Linked DNA regions of Astyanax mexicanus. The protein of the gene in region 1 interacts with the protein of each later gene in a pairwise test. Links are inferred from orthologs where the notes say so. Each region holds a gene or a part of one and is shown on either strand. Other genes may lie near its edges. The genes, in order: protein BCCIP homolog and rpl23.

Region 1 (10,414 bases):
CCTCGAGCAGGAACACTCCTCCTGACCTCCTGACACGTTTTACTGATGAGGAGACAGTAGTGGCATCTTCCACTGGGTTTATTGGTCCTCTGAGCCTCGGCCAGCTCATCACTGTTAAACAGAGATACGAGTTAATGTCTCTTACAGGAAGAACAAGAGATCTGTACTGGATTAGTGAGAGACTGTGGGGCTGCTATTTAGTAAAAGAAGTCCCCCAGAACTGGGTTATTGTGAGAAAACAGCACAATGGATAAAATGACTGAACCCCATTAAAATAAATCCCCTTATGTTTTGCCAATAGGTTAGCCAAAATATAAATGTTTAAGATATTTAAAACAGCTTTTATGGTTCCCATCAGTGACACTGTATTCTTTGTTAGGAAGTCTCAGCGGGGGATCAGTAGGTCTGAGTGCTGCTGCTGTTTTGAGGGATCTGTGACCCAAATCCTTCTTACACAAGTTCAACCACGTGAATCAGAGTTGACATACTTAAATACCAACAACAACAAAAACAAATAACATGCTGGTTTACAGCTCTAGATTTCTATTTTAAACACCAGGAGTCATCAAAAATTCTAACATTTCAATTTCATAAAATAACAGACAGAAACAAAATGCTAATTCTGATAGAAGTTTATTCTAATAAGATAAGGAAGTTTTACAAAATACATAATTGAAGCCCAAATCTGAATGTACGAGTCCTTCAGGCTCCTGCTGAAAGTAAACTGTGTTTAAAGTTTTAAAGGTGGAAACAAGATTAAATGCCCCCTTGTGGTGTAAAAAAAAATGACGTCTGTCAGTAGTTTTGTTACTCTTTCAATAGGATTATATTAGTGCTAGACTATGGGCAAAATTGATGTGATTTTTTTTTTTTAATTACAGTTGATACGATATTGTTTTCTCATTAATATGAAAAGTTTAAAAGCCACCACTGTGGAGTGTATACTCACACACAGAGCGGGGTGATCTTGTCAAAAATGTTTTTAAATATTGTGATATAAATTTTACAGTACACAGTATTTATAGCAATATTTTGATATAAGTTAAAATAATCTTCTGCACAGAACAATAAATAATTCAGTCATACAGGATAAATACACTGTCCTGCGTATGCATATTAAAGCACACTGATAATGTGATAAATGTTTTAAAGGTCCTGCAAACACTCCTTTCACCAGGAGAAAATCCTGCTTCTTTTAGCACCTGTGCGCATGTGTGTGTGTACCGACTGTATTAGAAAACCTAAATTATTAAATATAGAATAATTACTGCAGTAAAATTTTACTCACAGTAGCTGTTTGTAGAGAGGCAGGGCGATCTGCGGCGGGACGTTGATGAAGCGTTCGCTGAGCAGCAGCCCGACAGCCTGAGACGAATCGTGCAGAACTTTCTCAAACTGCTCCAACACAGCGGCCGGGCAGAGCTTCTCACACTGACCCAACACCAGCTCCTTCACCTGCTCCACACACTCCAGCCCCTGCCAAACAAACACACGCTCAGTACATCATAATCTACACACTGAAAAACAACAGACTGTGTAAAACCCTGAAGAGACACTGCAGTACAGCCTCCACACAACAGGGGTCACTTAACAGAATAACTTAACTATTTACTCTATAGCACACAATGGTGAGGCAGTCAATAATCTACATTATATAATATACTAATATACCCCTTTCTACTAAATAACCTCCTCACAGCAACCACCTAGGATACCAGAGCAACTGGAAAGCAACACCCAAGTAACTAGCAACAACACCTGTAAAATTAGAGAGACGGTTAAACATCATTTAGCAACACCAGAGCAACCACTATGGCAGGGGTCGGCAATTAAGTTTGGCCGCGGGCCAGATTTTTTCCAAGCCATTACATGGCGGGCCACAAGCACTCGGGGGGGGGGGGTTGTTTGGCGGGCGCGGTGGCGGGAGGGCGCTCTTAAAATGACAAGCAGACATTCAAGTGGGCTGATGTGGGTGAAATCTGTGGACTGACCATTGGGGGCGCTATTAATGATATACCTGTTTGTTAAATAAAAAAAAACAAACGAATAAAAAAAAAAAAAAAAAACAGAACAAAGAAGCTAGCAGTTATCTAAAATCCGTGTATCATTCGTTCATTTGATATTCAATTGAGAATCAAAATCGGAAAATTAAAAAACCAATTCGTTTTTTCGTTTTTTCGTTTTTGAATATAATAACAAAAAACGAATAACGGCTTGTATTTTGTATTTTTATTTGGTTATCCAAACAAAAATTGGAAATTTAAAAAACGGACCAGGAGCCGAATTTGATTTTGATTTTGAACTTGACCCATTTGTGTGCCCCGGAAGTTACTGATTTGTTTATTCTTGGTGGGTTTCTGTTGCGCGGGAGTTCACTGCAGTGTTATCTACACAGTCTGTATTGCTGTAGGCAGCATGGCCGGACTGGAACCACATTCTGGCCTAATTAAAGATCTTTTTGAAGGTGGTAAGACGCATGAAGAGATTTCGTGCACGTTGCAGCAAATGGGGATCCAGCGATGTTCTGCAATAAGTGTTAGAAGGTTCTGTGTTCAACACGACCTTAAGCGAAAAAGACATGTATCGAACACAGAATTGGAGAGGGCCGTTGAGGATGGAGAGTTTTATCTTGTTCAGAGGAACTAAACGCGTTGCAGTGAAAGAAGACGATATGACAACAGAAAAAATCGGCAGGATCTTTCAGGTGTTTGTCTAACGTTCCGTAGCTAAATGTCATATTTAGTAGGCGGCAATTCACAGAATAACATTAACTAAATATGACATTTAGCTACGGAACGTTAGACAAACACCTGAAAGATCCTGCCGATTTTTTCTGTTGTCATATCGTCTTCTTTCACTGCAACGCGTTTAGTTCCTCTGAACAAGATAAAACTCTCCATCCTCAACTCCATCCAAAGCCTACAGCAATACAGACTGTGTAGATAACACTGCAGTGAACTCCCGCGCAACAGAAACCCACCAAGAATAAACAAATCAGTAACTTCCGGGGCACACAAATGGGTCAAGTTCAAAATCAAAATCAAATTCGGCTCCTGGTCCGTTTTTTAAATTTCCAATTTTTGTTTGGATAACCAAATAAAAATACAAAATACAAGCCGTTATTCGTTTTTTGGTATTATATTCAAAAACGAAAAAACGAAAAAACGAATTGGTTTTTTAATTTTCCGATTTTGATTCTCAATTGAATATCAAATGAACGAATGATACACGGATTATCTAACAGCCCGTGGCTCTATCAAAAAATCTTTAATAAATTTTTCTGTTTTGGAAAATTAAGTTTCTAAATAAAGAGCATTTTTGAGACGGACAGTCCGATTTTTTTTTTCGTTATAGTTCAACCTCACGGGCCAGATGTTTCTTGCTTGCGGGCCGCATCTGGCCCGCGGGCCGCCTATTGCCGACCTATGCACTATGGGATCATAGCAATTAATTAGCAACACTATAGCACTAATATATTATTTATTCAAGTGTGTGATATTCAGGGCTGGTGCTCTACCTTCCTCTCCGTCAGATTGACGATGCTGATGAATCCAAACACCTCATCTGGATCCTCATCGTCGCTGTCGTCCGGCACCTCGGCTTGCTGAAAACAGAAAACAAAAAACACAGTATAAAATTTTGATTTCCCCACATGATGAGATCACACAGGTAACCTGGCTTACTACTCCACCTGCTGGGGGTTTACAGAACATCAAGCACCAACAGACCTAACTGTACATCTGACACATAAATGTTACTCAGACTAATATTAATTGTGTCAGAATGAGTGTACCTTTGACTCAAATGTAACATATGATTAGTTTTCTACACCATATAGAGCTGTTAAGTATTGTCTCCTATACTATTAATACTATTTAATAAAAAAAAAATAATAATAATTAACCCAAAATACCAGGTCCACCCACCCTGATCACACTGCCAATGTGATTCTGCTGGATAATGAGGTCTGTCAGCTCAGAGGTGTTGACATGTGCCTTCAGGAAAAGCTGTTGGAGATATATAAATAATAGTCAGTAATCCTCGATTCACTCAAGTAAATTTTCTTTGGTCCATATTCCTTTTAATTCCAGATTAAATAAACGTCTGGTTGTGTTACTACGTTTGGGTTACCTGCTGCATCAACTTCTTAACCCCATTAAAATCGTTATCAGATATAGTGTGAGCTTCAAAATCCACAACAACCTCCTGAAAACAGAAGAAAAGAAAGTTAATGGAACACTAAGTGCTCTGGGTCAGGGTTCACAGGGCTCTAGGTTAGGGGTCAGGGTTCACAGGGCTCTAGGTTAGGGGTCAGGGGGCTCTGAGTTAAGGGCGAAATGTTTCATAACGTTTTATATCAGTGCATATATGAAACAATGCAGACAATCTAATTATTTGTATTAATAATAATAATATTAATATTAATAATAATTATTATTATGATTATGATTATTATTATATTTATTATTATTATTATTAATAACAACAATAACACTTTTTTTGTTGCTTTATAAAAGGAACCAAGCTTTTTTTTTTTACTAAAAGAGTCATTTTAACCAAAGAAACATTTACATTTAAGGTATTTAGCAGACGCCTTTATCCAGAGCGACTTACAACAGTGCTTCGATGTTACTTCAAATATCCATAGCTAGTTTCTAGACTAGACTTTTTTCTGTTGTACCAGAGATAAGCATTGTTTGACCAGTTAGAAGCTGCTTACTCATAAAACACAAAATTCCACCTTAAATCGTACAGTAATGAGCCTATGCAGACGGCAACCCCTATAAAACTGCAGATTTAAGGTGGAGCGGAGAGTTTGGGGAAGAACAGCTTGAGTTTAGCTGGTGAACCTCAGGCCGAGAACTCGCTCCTCTTTATTAATCCTCACCTCATTAATCTCCTCCTCCTCCTCCGACTCCCCGCTCTCCTCCTCTCCGCTCTCCCCGGAATCCCGCTCCTCCTCCGGCTCCTCTCCCGCTCCTACCGCGCGCCGCTTCGCAAATGAGGCCATGCCGCCACTCGCGCAGCTCCAGCCCGCTGAGGAGTACCGCGCGCTCCGCGGACACGCGGTTTAAAGGGGCAGGAAACCGCGCGCGGCTGCTCGCCATTCCGGATCTTACTCCAACCCGGTAATACCGAGCCGAACCGCGGAAACAGAGCCTGCATGGCCGCCTTTTCCTCAGCTCAGGAACTGAAGGTTGCCATTGAAGGGAGGCAAATACAAAATAAAAGTCTTTTGTTTTTTAATGCAATAATATATTTTATATATGTTATGTTTATGTATTTGAACACATTACAGTAATCGTTTAAAAAATATTTACATTTGACTAAAATAATCACTGTTTGCAAATTCAATATTTTTTACATTCGTGATGTCAATCATTGAAAAAAAAATACAAATCACAACATTAATCTTGATATTTGTTTAAATTCTAATATTTTCCTGTTTTTGGAAGGGAGACAAAAATAATAGAATAGTGTATTTTTCATTACAATACCTCAGGGTAATTTTGAATATTGTAGATGAATATTGTAACTTAATGTTCTGAGTTTCTGAGTTTAACAGCATTAATGGAGGAAATAAAGAGCTTTACCTTCAACAACTCCAAACTGAGCATGCTGACCAGTGTTTCACCCCACTCACCAGATAACCACTCACAACTTACAAGTGTGGGCCTTGTGCTGGTAACCTGTGGTTTCTGAGGCTGGAAACACTGATAAACCTTATACAATCTTATACAACAGAGAAAACTCTCGCTCTTCCTTTACTGGGCCGGTCCAGATGAGAGCCAGTTTCATCATAACGTTTTTGAAGGTCAAGTGCAACTGCACTTGAGGATACTTTTAAAGTTCTTAAATTGGCTGACCTTAATTTTTTATTGTTATTTTTTTTTTGTCTTTACTTGATGGGTAGTTGTTGCTTCTCATAATCTGGATTAGAACATTACAACTGATGCTCTCAAACACATTAAGACACAAGAGTTCAGCACAGCTGTTAACTGAAAGCCTGAATTCCAGGTGACTCTACCTCATAAAACTGACTGAGAAAATCCAGCAGAGATGTTCAAAACTGATCATCTAAACAAGAGGAGCTACTTTAAAGAATGTAAAATATAAAACATATTCTGGTTTGTTTAACACTTTATTACTAAATTATTTAATTTTAAAACGACTTTATGGTGTGTCCAGATTTTTGACTTATACTTTTGACTTTGACTTATAAATTATATATTTTTTTATATTAAGGTGTGTGTTGCTGTTTTATAACTATAATATTCAACAATATGACTTTATATATTAAAAAACACAGCTCCACTGTTAAATAGATAATCCAATCCGATCAGAATCGATTCAGAAAGATTCGGAACCTTCAGGAAAGTTCCGTGTCCTTTAAAGACGCGCGCTGCGTCAGACTGCGGTCAAGCCAGCCCCCACTTCAAAACGCTTGGTCAAACTAGCCCCCACGCTGTTTCTTAGAGCGCGCATACACTGAACATTGCGGCAAGCGTGAGAAGGAACACATTTCAAAATATCATGACATTATGCTGTGGAGTGGTATTAAAAGGAATCCACATAATATCACATGTTATGTCTGATATCACATGTCAATTTCATGTAGTCCTGGTAGTACACAAAATAAAAGCCCTGTAAATTATAACAATTATGTTAATTAAATAATAATAATACTAATAATAATAATACTAACAATACTACTACTACTAATAATACTTGTATGTGTCACTCACTTAATAGCAGGGCATTATAATGTGTCATTTCAAAATAAAGGCCCTTTAAATTGTAACATTTATGTAATTTTACACAATGTTTAGACTGTTATTAAAAGAAATCTGTCTGATATCACAGTTCAATTTCAGATAGTCCTGATAGTACACTACTTGTATGTGTCACTCACTTAAAATCATAACATTTTGATGTGTCATTTCAAAATAAAGGCCCTTTAAATTATAACAATATTTTATTTCAACAATGTTTAGACTGTTATTAAAAGGAATCTGTCTGATATCACAGCTCAATTTTATATAGCCCTGATAGTACACCACTTGTATGTTTCACTCACTTAAAATCAGAACATTTTGATGTGTCATTTCAAAATAAGGGCCATTTAAATTGTAACATTTATGTAATTTTACACAATGTTTAGACTGTTATTAAAAGAAATCTGTCTGATATCACAGTTCAATTTCAGATAGTCCTGATAGTACACTACTTGTATGTGTCACTCACTTAAAATCATAACATTTTGATGTGTCATTTCAAAATAAAGGCCCTTTAAATTATAACAATATTTTATTTCAACAATGTTTAGACTGTTATTAAAAGGAATCTGTCTGATATCACAGCTCAATTTTATATAGCCCTGATAGTACACCACTTGTATGTTTCACTCACTTAAAATCAGAACATTTTGATGTGTCATTTCAAAATAAGGGCCATTTAAATTGTAACATTTATGTAATTTTACACAATGTTTAGACTGTTATTAAAAGAAATCTGTCTGATATCACAGTTCAATTTCAGATAGTCCTGATAGTACACTACTTGTATGTGTCACTCACTTAAAATCATAACATTTTGATGTGTCATTTCAAAATAAAGGCCCTTTAAATTATAACAATATTTTATTTCAACACAATGTTTAGACTGTTATTAAAATAAATCTGTCTATCACAGGTCAATTTCATATAGTCCTGATAGTACACTACTTGTATGTTTCACTCAATTAATATCAGAACATTTTGATGCGTCATTTCAAAATAAAGGCCCTTTAAATTATAACAATATTTTATTTCAACACAATGTTTAGACTGTTATTAAAATAAATCTGTCTGATATCACAGGTCAATTTCATATAGTCCTGATAGTACACAACTTGTATGTTTCACTCAATTAATATCAGAACATTTTGATGTGTCATTTCAAAATAAGGGCCATTTAAATTGTAACATTTATGTAATTTTACACAATGTTTAGACTGTTATTAAAAGAAATCTGTCTGATATCACAGTTCAATTTCAGATAGTCCTGATAGTACACTACTTGTATGTGTCACTCACGTAATATCAGAACATTTTGATGTGTCATTTCAAAATAAAGGCCCTTTAAATTATAACAATATTTTATTTCAACACAATGTTTAGACTGTTATTAAAATAAATCTGTCTGATATCACAGGTCAATTTCATATAGTCCTGATAGTACACTACTTGTATGTTTCAATCACTCAATATCAGAACATTTTGATGTGTCATTTCAAAATAAAGGCCCTTTAAATTATAACATTTATATAATTTTACACAATGTTTAGACTGTTCTTAAAATAAATCTGTGTGATATCACAGTTCAATTTTGTATAGTCCTGATAGTACACTACTTGTATGTGTCACTCACTTAATAACAGAACATTTTGATGTCATTTCAAAATAAAGGCCCTTTAAATTGTAACATTTATGTAATTTTACACAATGTTTAGACTGTTATTAAAAACAATCTGTGTGATATCACAGTTCAATTTCATATAGTCCTGATAGTACACTACTTGTATGTGTCACTCACTTAATATCAGAACATTTTGATGTGTCATTTCAAAATAAGGGCCCTTTAAATTATAACAATCTTTTATTTTACCACTAGGTTTAGACAGTTATTAAAAGAAATCTGTCTATCACAGGTCAATTTCATATAGTCCTGATAGTACACTACTTGTATGTTTCACTCACTTAATATCAGAACATTTTGATGTGTCATTTCAAAATAAAGGCTCTTTAAATTGTAATGTTTATGTAATTTTACACAATGTTTAGACTGTTATTAAAAGGAATCTGTCTGATATCACAGGTCAATATCATATAGTCCTGATAGTACACTACTTGTATGTGTCACTCACTTAATAACAGAACATTTTGATATGTCATTTCAAAATAAAGGCCTTTTAAATTATAACAATATTTTTATTTTAACACAAGTTTTGGCTGTTATTAAAATGAATCTGTGTGATATCACAGGTCAATTTCATATTTCATTTCATAATTTAAAGGGCCTTTATTTTGAAATGACACATCAAAATGTTCTGATTTTAAGTGAGTGAAACATACAAGTGGTGTACTATCAGGGCTATATAAATTTGAGCTGTGATATCAGACAGATTTTTTTAATAAGAGTCTAAACATTGTGTTGAAATAAAATATTTTTTATAATTTAAAGGGCTTTTATTTTAAAATGACACATCAAAATGTTCTGATAGTAATTGAGTGAAACATACAAGTAGTGTACTATCAGGACTATCTGAAATTGAACTGTGATATCAGACAGATTTCTTTTAAAAACAGTCTAAACATTGTGTAAAATTACATAAATGTTACAATTTAAATGGCCCTTATTTTGAAATGACACATCAAAATGTTGTGATTTTAAGTGAGTGAAACATACAAGTGGTGTACTATCAGGGCTATATGAGATTGACCTGTGATATCAGACAGATTTCTTTTAATAACAGTCTAAACATTGTGTAAAATTACATAAATGTTACAATTTAAAGGGCCTTTATTTTGAAATGACACATCAAAATGTTCTGTTATTAAGTGAGTGACACATACAAGTAGTGTACTATCAGGACTATATGAAATTGAACTGTGATATCAGACAGATTTATTTTAAGAACAGTCTAAATATTGTGTAAAATTACATAAATGTTATAATTTAAATGGCCTTTATTTTGAAATGACACATCAAAATCTTCTGATATTAAGTGAGTGAAACATACAAGTAGTGTACTATCAGGACTATATGAAATTGACCCGTGATATCAGACAGATTTCTTTTAATAACAGTCTAAACATTGTGTTGAAATAAAATATTGTTATAATTTAAAGGGCCTTTATTTTGAAATGACACATCAAAATGTTACGATTTTAAGTGAGTGACACATACAAGTAGTGTACTATCAGGACTATCTGAAATTGAACTGTGATATCAGACAGATTTCTTTTAATAACAGTCTAAACATTGTGTAAAATTACATAAATGTTACAATTTAAATGGCCCTTATTTTGAAATGACACATCAAAATGTTCTTATTTTAAGTGAGTGAAACATACAAGTAGTGTACTATCAGGTCTATATAAAATTGAGCTGTGATATCAGACAGATTCCTTTTAATAACAGTCTAAACATTGTTGAAATAAAATATTGTTATAATTTAAAGGGCCTTTATTTTGAAATGACGCATCAAAATGTTCTGATTTTAAGTGAGTGACACATACAAGTAGTGTACTATCAGGACTATCTGAAATTGAACTGTGATATCAGACAGATTTCTTTTAATAACAGTCTAAACATTGTGTAAAATTACATAAATGTTAAAATTTAAAGGGCCTTTATTTTGAAATGACACATT
Region 2 (10,527 bases), on another chromosome or scaffold:
TCAAGCACAAATGCTCCAAAATAACCCACACCACCACGTTTTTACACATTTATCAGAGAATACTACTTTCATAGTTTAGGATTCCAATCCTTTACATGGTAGTATTTCAGCTCTGAGAGACTGCACCTCAGAGAATTAATAGGAGCACCTAATTTTCATCAACTAAAAATTTAACCAAAAGTACAAAAAAAGCAAGATAATCAAAGACTACATTAAAGACGAAGGATTATTTTAGATCATGTCTTTTTCGATGCAAGTGTGCATGAACCAATTTCACTTTTGTGATAACCTTTTCTTTGAAAAAGACAATATACACTGCAGTGGTGAAAACCTGCAAAACACATTTCGTATTCCTCTGAACACACAGGTTCAGTTTCAGATTAAGTATTTTGGTGCATTCCTAAATGAGTGGTTAAACCACTGTCGGGATGTTACTTCACAAAGCCAGAAGTGACATTTGTTCCAGACAATCTTAGACTCTCCAAAAGAAAGGAGTTTAAAGCCTGCTAAAAGCTTCCTAACAGTTATTACACCAAACAGTTGTTTCGTGTTAAGTGTACCACCACGGATTGAGATTGAACAGCACAGAGAATAAGCTGCCATCTCACCCATTAGCAATGGGATTCACTATTTCCTTCCACGACAACTCACTCAGCCACTGAGCAGACGAAGCAAGTGCTTTTTAGAAGGATTTGTGAGTGCAATACTATAGCTTTATTTGTAAGATGTAAACATGGGTTAGCTGCATAAATATTGGTGGTACTGAGCAACAGAGAAACTTCAGCCTTAAATATTCAAAATGCCCAGCTATACTGTGCCTTGTTGGTATGTCACTAGTTTTAGTAATTGCATCACCTCTGAATACATAGGCTATATTAATTGATGCAACAGTGAAAGTGGCAAAATAGGCACTCACTTTGCAGGTAATTAAAGCCCAGAAATCTTGCACTACACCCTTTCAGTTTAGAGGTGAGGACTGACCAACAAACATTGCTGTGTCTGGCTCTTACTTCACAGGCTAAAGTCTGGTCTAAAATATTCTAGTTAAAATTAGACATTATGATTTGTGACTACACTACCAAAAGTTAAAAATGTGTAAATGGGCAGCAATCAAGTAAAAGTCCAGCTTAACAACAGTGGATTGGTGTGGCGCACAAAAACTTAACACTAGTGCTGCACTGTAAAGGGTACCAAGATCAACAAGTATGCGGGCAGTGAACAATCAACACCAATACATAGAAAGATGAAGCATTTTTAAGCAAAAGTAAATAACTTGTTTGCAATCAGCTGCCTTTATATTCCTTGTATACATTTATATACTCACCCTTTTTCTTGAGCTCTGGTTTGCCTTTCTTCACAGTGGCCATAACCATGTCACCAACACCTGCAGCAGGGAGCCTGTTCAGACGACCCTTGATACCTTTGACGGAGATGATGTACAGGTTCTTGGCACCTAACAAATGTCAAAAACATATGTTTATGTCACAAAAACACTTTACATAAACAGTTATAGGACAATATTTTCTCAAATAGCAAGAGCAGGCTGCTGAATGCATAAGTTCTTTAAGGTGTTCCATCACCGATTGAGATTTAACAGTTACAAACAAAGCTGCCATCTCACCCTTAAGCAATGGGATTTATTATTTCCTTCCACGACAACTCACTCAGCCACTAAACAGACGAAGCAAGTGCTTTTTAGAAGGAGTACAGTAGAGTAATTTTTTTGTTTTACATATTGCCAAAAGTGCTCTTACAGATCCCTAAATAACCCTATATGCAAGGGAGTGTGAACATTTTATTCCAAGACATTTTGGATAATTTCTATTGGTGCCTTCCCTGCACATTTGACAATGTATAACTTCTATTATATAATAATTAAACTACATTGATTTCTCTTTATCCAGCAACAATTCACACTGCAGTGAACAATGAATAGAAGGTGTGACAGCAACAGCAAATGAAAAATAAATGTTAACTAACATCTTACAAAGCAGGGCAACTGTAAAACTATTAAAATCAGCACCCTGTTACAAACAGATTTTATAAACTGGTCAGCAACATGCTGCCTTACCTGTGTTGTCAGCACAGTTGATGACCGCTCCCACTGGGAGACCCAGTGAGATGCGGAACTTGGCTCCAGATGCTCCACCACGTCCTGAAAGAGAGAGATCACCATTTATTTAATCACTGACAGATTTGTTAAGTCAACCAAGCTCACACCACCAAATTCAGTAAATGTAAATAAACGTGTACCTGTAGGTTATGTGCTTGAAAAAAAATTGCTATTGAGTAGATTAAATGTAGACTACATATGAGTAACATACCATACAAGTTAAGCCTCCAAACTGTATAACATTACCTGACGGACTAAATAATAAAATCAGCTCAGAATAAAGAGAGTACATAAACTTAACACTATAAAAGACAGACCAATTTAATGTGCAATTGTTGTAAAAGAATCTTGCCATGTCAGAATGGTACAAAGAGTGGGCGAATGAAACCAGACACCTGAAGAAATTTTTAATGCCTGCCCAAATCTCCCTCACTGCAATATTTTTTTTTCTTACCCCATAGTTATGAAGACGTGTTCAGATTTACATAGCTCATTTGAAGGTGTACCATCACGGATTGAGATTGAACAGTACATTAATTAAAGCTGCCATCTCACCCAAGAGCAATGGGATTTACTATTTCCTTCCACGACAACTCACTCAGCCACTGAGCAGACGAAGCAAGTGCTTTTTAGAAGGATTTATGAGCGTAATACTGTTTCGAAAATATCGCTTAGGTTTATACAAAGATGTACATGTGGGTAAACTGCATACATATTGGTGGTTCTCTAAGAATTAAATTTCAGCTATACACACTCAAAATGCCAAACAATATTGGGTTTTGGTGATATGTCTGCTGGGAGGAAGAAGGTAAAGTGCTGAGAAATTAAATATTTAACTGTAACTTTAGTTATTGCTTTTTCTGAGAAGCAAATAGGTTACACCATGTTATGCAATGGCATAACAGTCTTAATTTATGTAGCTTACTTTTGGTGTTTAAATACCATAGCCTGGTGACATTAGAGGAGTGTTTTTTTCCGCATTAAAAACGGTAAAGAGACACATGCAAGGTATTAAGAAGAAAAAAGTACTTCTAGAAAAAAAATGCCACTAAAGTAATACTCGGCTACACGTGTGTTTTAAATAGTGACGCCTGGCTTCATTCACAACCACAGTACAGAAATGCCAAGCTGTAGTTAGCTAACCTAGCCTAGCTACGCTATCTCTGCAAAGAACCACAATTCCACATCAAACCTGCCACACACAGTCCTTTAAAAGCTAGGAGACCCAGTCTTATCCACAGTATTACCTTTTTATCCAACATCCAGCTTTAGATTAACCATGAGCTAGCTTCATGTAGTATCGTTAGCTAATGCTGTTCTCAACATAACTGCTACTCATACAGCTATTAGCCAGGCTAGGTAACTTTAGCTAGCCCACTTAGCTCCACAACAGACCGTCCACTACATTTTAACTTTGTTTTAACCCAAAATTAACACAATAGACCAAAGTATAAAACATTTATACCATAAAACAGCCGCTGAAAAGCTTCTCAAAACAGGTTTTGGCCTAAAACACCTTCCACCGCTCCCCGCTGAAGAGCCGCCGCTCCGTTCCTCCATCAGCGCCAAAACTTATAAACCATTATCATCAAAATTAAAACTAAAACTGCCTCCATACCGTCCAAACCGAAATCAGAAGGGCTTTGTATTATAGTTAAACATCGCAGTGTGAGTTTAAAGGTGTTATAAAGAGAGGATTAAAGCGGATTCAGAGACAGGCTCGCTCACCTCTCTTAGACATCGCGGCTGGAAAGAGAAAGGAAGGAGGAGAGGGGAGCGCTCGGAAATGACGCTCCGGCTCTCCGCTTTCAGCGCCACGGCGGCCCCTGCAGGCGGAGGAGCGAACTGCAGCATACTCCACTGCGCATGCTCAGACTCCTACTCAACAGTGTTAGTCGGTAAAACCTTGTTTTAGTTGGTCAGCTTCTTGACTCTAATGGAGGTCCATTAAGTTATACTGACCTAATTTAAAAAAAATACTAAAAATTGATATACATATTTGGGAATGTTCTGTTGTGATAAATGTAATTACAACAGGAGTAGCTTTATTGTAAGAGGTTTTCACTGTCATTTTGTCAATCACATGATTGATTGGATATTTATATTGGGAGTGCATGCTTTTTAACACATTGGCTACGAAATAACAAGCAGATAAGGACATTACTTCAGAAAGGGTATTGTAGAGTTTATACTTTGCGAAAAGTGTAAAAGTGAAAAGTTTACCTTTAAAATACTTTGAAATTAATCCATAGAATTTACCCAGTGAAGAATTGTCTTTTAAAATACAAGCCTGATGTGTCAAGTGGTCTGAACTATTACATTTTATTCAAATTCATTGTATTGATTATTTTTCTTTTACTTTCTAAGGTGTACTATTTGTTGTATTTAATTCTGAAAAATCCATTTATGATAAGTAATTACGATCAATCCATCAATCCACCCATATTTTGACGCAATGTAAAGAAAAACAAAAAGATTTGTTTTATGTAAAACAAAACGAAAAAAAGAATGAATGTGTTTTTTTTTTTACACAATATTGGTGATATACGGTGCCAATCATGTAGTAAACAAACCAAAATACTCTGTAAAGCATTTAGGTGCTCTTATATGGAGTGTTGCGGTATGGAATATGGAAACTTGCGGTTTCTGATACTGATGAGAGCCAGTTGCAGTGTAATGTTTCTGATGGTGTTTGCGACTGCACTTGAGGATACTTTTTAAAGTTGTTACAAATTTTCGGATTAACTAACCTTAATTTCTTAAAGTCATTTTTCTTTACTTAGTTGAGAAGTTCTTGCCATAATATGGATTAAAACATTATTTAAATAGGGCTAGTTACTGTATACCAACTTTACCTCTTCACAACACAACTGATTTAAGTTTAAGTAATTAATTTAAGTAATTAACTCTTAGTGAAGCACAGCTGTTAACTGTGAGCCATGCCAGGTGACTCTACCTCATAAAGCTGACTGAGAAAAAAAAGCCAAGGTGTGTAAAGCTGTCATCTAAACAAGAGGTGCTACTCTGAAGAATCTAAAATATAAAACATATTCTGGTTTGTGTCCAAACCTTTGACTGGTACTGTATAACTTTCATGAGTATTTCATATAATTATTTACATGTCTATAAATGTGCATCTTTAATCAATGACAACTTTTCACATTGATATACAGGATGAAAAAGCATATGTATTATATAGTTAATAGTAAATTGCATATAATAATCATTACTTATTAAAATATGCTCAGCATGAACCTCATTCTTTAGGTGAAAATGAAGATGTTTATTTATGTGTAATGCTGTAATATTTACAAATATGATTTTTACAAGCACTGCATGCATGTTGGTCGACACTGTACATTTAGTAATCCCTAAACAACCAAATCAACCGAGTTCAGAAACATGAACACAGAGACATCAGACAAGAAAACAAACAAAAAAAAAAACGGATGATTTCTGAAACTTGAGTGGCTGTATAGGTGCTCTGTTTCTGTTTGTGAAGGACTAGCCCTTTAAGTAACTGGATTCTAAACCCACCAATCCTGTCTGGATAGGGCTTTATATTCACATATTCAGTCTACAGTAAAACTTTTGGAGGTAGGTGTCCATGCACTGAGAAATATGATTATTGACTTCTCTAATATGCTGAGTATGCTGTTTACAAGACGACATCTATATCTCGAATAAGTGCATGTAAACACACTTAATGATTACTTGAATGGGGCTGTATAAGGTGTGGATTTAAGGTAAAACCTCCATTGAGGGGCTTGGTAATCTCAACTCTAAAACAGCTTTGGACCTGCATGCAGAATTTAGGATTCCAAAAAAATTCAACCCCCTGATTCAATACTGGTTTAGGCATGTTCTTATTCACTGTCAATCAGGAAAATCCCAAATGCCAGTCATAAAGTTGCTTAAAATAAAAAAATAATAATATTGCCGCAGTGCTGTAGAATGAACATGAACATAATGAAAAAAAGATAAGTTAACCTCACCAAAATATTAGACTGCCAGTGTGGTAGTTAAGAGGCTTAGACAGATTTAATGCTACAGTGTAAATGCCACGTGTATTGTTTACCACATAATGCAATAGCAGTGATTTTTAAAACACAGCTTAGATCCAGTTCTCTGGGCATGAAGCCGACTACAGAATGATACACAACCCTCAAGGGTCTCTGTTGTTTATCAAGATAAACAATACCAAATGCCCACTCTATAAACAATGTGCTGCATCTCTATAGGGCTTTCTCACACATTTTGGTGCTATATACAGTAGAACAATTTATAAGAAAATAACAAGAAAAAGCAATGTACAAGTAGCTTTTTTTCTTGTATGTAAAGAATGACATAACCGAACAGAAAAAGAAGCGTTTAACCCTGTTGAGACCTGCTGAATTAGAAGGGAACCACGGCGACTTACAAGGGTTGGACAATGAAACTGAAACACCTGGTTTTAGACCACAATAATTTATTGTCCCGACGGACAGTTCTGGTGGAAACAGGAGAGTTGAGGTGCACATTAAATTCTGCATTGATTTGGGCAGCCGTGGTTTTATGTTTTTTAAGATACAATCCGGGTTAGCACCCGAACATCCCTTTCAGACAGCTTCCTCTTGCATCCACAGTTAATCCTGTTGGATGTGGTTGGTCCTTCTTGGTGGTATGCTGACATTACCCTGGGTACTGTGGCTCTTGATACATCAAAAAGACTTGCTGTCTTGATCACAGATGCTCCAGCAAGACGTGCACCAACAATTTGTCCTCTTTTGAACTCTGGTATTTCACCCATAATGTTGTTGTGCATTGCAATATTTATGCAAAACTGCGCTCTTACCCTGCTAATTGAACCTTTACACTCTGCTCTTACTGGTGCAATGTGCAATTAATGAAGATTGGCCACCAGGCTGCTCCAATTTAGCCATGAAACCTCCCACACTAAAATGACAGGTGTTTCAGCTTTCAGATTGGCCAACCCCTGTACCTGTTCCTTACTAATGTCACATAATGCGCCTTATAATTCGGTGCACCTTATGTATGAAAATAGACCAGAAAATAAACGTTCATTGATAGTGCACCTTATAATCTGGTGCGCCTTTTAGTGTGAAAAATACATTAGTCTATACCTTTTAACTAAGTTAAGAACCATGTTTTCATCCAAATGCCTCTTTGACTTTTACTCCTTTGCCTTTATTACAGATCCCTTATAGAACCTATTTCTTAAGAGTGTTGATGCTTCGATTTAACACCCATATTGCTGCAAAGCCAAAACTACACCTTCACGCTTCTACCTGATGGCAATGATCAAAAAACAAAGTTTGATCAAAGTAACAAGAGACCTTTAAATCTTGAAGAATAACTTGTCATTCACGACTGATGGTGGTCCACTAGTTAACTAAACGAATGGGCTGCTGAACAATGGACATCTTAACTCATCAGAAACTCATTTTTACAAGATTGTACTTACAAGTTATGTAAATGTACAATATAGTGAAATCTCATTCGATCACATTTGACCTACTTTTTATTAGTCATCCAAGAGGGATTAACCATTTAACAAACACATTTTTTTTTAAAGGCATGAGTGCTGGAGGCCTCTAATACCCTTGACTGTGAAAGAAATGTTGGATGAGCAGGTGTCTGGATATTTTGGGACAGGTGCATGGCTTCAGCAGGTGTCTCGGCTCAGAGGGAGGTGGAAGAGGTCAGCGTTGGCAGTCAGGCCCAACGCAGGTTGTGTTTACCCTGGCCACGGGCATCTGCCGGACCTCCTGCTTTTCTCTTGGCCTGTCCAAAGAACCCCTGCCCTCATGGGATGACGTCCAGCCTTGGCAACAGCTCCCTCTGCCTCTCTTTCTCTCTCTCTCGCTCCCTCTCTCTTTCTCTCTCACTCTCCTCCATCTGTTTGGATGCATCCTCCTCGTCTGGCTGCTGGCTCGGCTCGCAGGTGGCGTGAGGCTGAGTCTGCCATGTGCCGTCACGGTAAGTGCAGTAGCACACGGTCCGCTCGTCAATCTCCACTCGCTCTCCGGCCGGGATGATGCGGTTTCCAGCGAAGCAGTTTGGACCTTTGAGGAAACACACAGAACATCTGGTCAGTAGGGTTGTAAAAAATTAATACGCCGGAGTATCACAATACTGTTTTGCAATATTATATTGATTTTCACAAAGTAGCAGTTCTGTTTTTTTTTTTGTTTACATGCAGCTTTTAATGAAACCTGCTAAACTTAACATGGCAACTGATAGTAATGGTCAAAGTTTGATTTGTACCTTGACTTGACCCACAATTTTTCAAAACACAGAATATAAGACACTGCTAATTTGCCCTGTTCTGGCCTGTCAAGACATATATCCACAATCAGAGTCCAAATGTGCAGTAAAGATAAAAGACATTTTCCTGAAAAGTGTAATGTTTCAACTATAGCTGGGCAGTTAATGATGATTCAAAACCAACATTCAGAATCTGTAACTAAACTAGACTTTAATCAATCAACCAGTCTATCAATTAACATTGTGGCCAAGTCAATATATATAATGTAGATAGCTTATTTAAGTAATACATTTTTTCTATTAATACTTTTTTAGTGTTAAACATTCTGACGTGTGCATAGTCATTAGGTGCTAACATTTCTAGACATTAAACCAGAAGAAACATGAAAGACTCAAATATCAAGCCAACTGAACAATAAAGGTCCTGCAGACGGTCTATTCAAGCCAGGCTGTCAATCACTTTATATCTTAATACAGTACAATATAGCAGAAAATGAAATACATATTAAAATCTGTCATTATTGGCACAGAGAAAACCAGCAGCTGGAAATAAACACTGGAAATTGAAAGAGTTTTAATGACAAAACATTTTGTAAACCTTTTCAAAAAGCCGCTCTTATGAGATCCTTTGTACCGGAAGAGAGATGAGGACAGCTAAAACTAAATCTCATAAGTTAAATTATGGGTTTATTTTATCTGCACTATTGGCACTTTAAATTACATCCTGTACATCTGCACATCGGGATACTTAAGACTTTTTGCTTAATAACTTTATAGGCACATATTTTCACTGTTCAATGAAAAAAGAGTATATTTCAGGTAATTTTGGAGAAGTTCTATTGGTCCATTCGTCAAGACATTTGTCACAGTGTAAGGGACAGTTTGCCTAATGATAGTAAGATGAGGTAACTGACCACTGGCATACAGTAAGACCCATAAATATTTGGACAGTGACACAATCTTTGTGATTTGGACTCTGCATGCCACCACACTGGACTTGAATTAAAACAAATGAGATGTAATTTAAGAGTAGACTTAAAGTGTAGATTTAATTTAAGGGGATGAACAAAAATATACTATAGGCCTAAAGTGTTTAATTACAAACATTTTTCTACAATTTTTTCCTTATTTCAGGGACTCAAGGTACTGTATTTTTGCACTATAAAACGCACCAGATTATATAAGGCACATTTTCAATAACTGTGTATTTTCTGGTCTATTTTCATACATAAGGAGCAGTATGCGACACTAGTAAGGAACAGAGGTGTCACCATGTTCGCCTTCTAATTCAGCAGGTCTTGCCACCCAGCTAAAGCTAAGCAAAATAAACAAAACTTTAATTCTTAAAAAAAATATATATTTTTTAACGTCAAACAAGTGGTGGATGTTCATTTACATAGGTTTCTCTCCTGAAAACTGTTTATTTGGGGGAGTAAATCGCATCTTTTTATTTACAGTAAGCTTAGATTTCCAGATTTCCATTGCGTGCAGCATCATTAGCATTAGCAGCTAACCACTAGCAGTTAGTGGCCAATTCCACCTGACAGCGCTACACTGAGAAACACTAAGTGTTCCGGTAAGCCAGGGTGATATTAGCTAGTGGTTCATCCCACGTAGCTTGTTTTAACACGGTAAACATACACACTACAGTCCGATATATTCACATCTGAATGATGAAAGGGCTATCTGTACTGTTCAGGCCTGTCCAAGCAATCTTTCTGCGTTTGGTAGAATCTGAGCAGAAAGTAAATCCCTGTACACTTCAGAACTTATCTTTCTTCTTCTGTCTTCTGTCAAATCATTAATCTTGGTGACCCAGGGACATTTTTTAGCCTAATGATGGTCTGTTTCACTTCCATTGAGAGCTTCTTTAAGCGCATGTTATGGGTTCACAGCAACAGCTTCCAAATGCAAATGCCACACCTGGAATCATCTCCAGACCTTTTAGCTGCTTAAATAATGATGGATTAGAAATAGTTCCTGCAGCCATAATATTTGACATCATTATTGACATAATTTGTACAATTACTTTGAGCTCCTGAAATGAGGAGACTTGTATTCCTAAACAGTTCATAGGATATTTTTGTTTAACCCCTTTAATGAAACTTAAAAATGTACACTTTAGTTACATCAGATTTACTTCATTT

What was found.
Region 2: the proteins of protein BCCIP homolog (region 1) and rpl23 interact in binary tests that used the Homo sapiens proteins (3 or more experiments, as listed by UniProt). The link is inferred for Astyanax mexicanus from reciprocal best matches to the Homo sapiens genes BCCIP and RPL23.

Annotation. Positions count from the first base shown.
Region 1 is NC_064422.1:13,960,611-13,971,024, forward strand, and holds the start of protein BCCIP homolog, read right to left. Parts: upstream 5,095-10,414; 5' UTR 5,012-5,094; coding exon 4,889-5,011; intron 4,207-4,888; coding exon 4,132-4,206; intron 4,008-4,131; coding exon 3,927-4,007; intron 3,605-3,926; coding exon 3,518-3,604; intron 1,477-3,517; coding exon 1,289-1,476; intron 112-1,288; coding exon 1-111. UniProt on the Homo sapiens protein: During interphase, required for microtubule organizing and anchoring activities. During mitosis, required for the organization and stabilization of the spindle pole.
Region 2 is NC_064426.1:17,151,939-17,162,465, forward strand, and holds the start of rpl23 (60S ribosomal protein L23), read right to left. Parts: upstream 3,947-10,527; 5' UTR 3,855-3,946; coding exon 3,842-3,854; intron 2,156-3,841; coding exon 2,072-2,155; intron 1,454-2,071; coding exon 1,325-1,453; intron 1-1,324. Other genes in the region: si:dkey-283b1.7 (brorin), read right to left, coding at 7,919-8,178.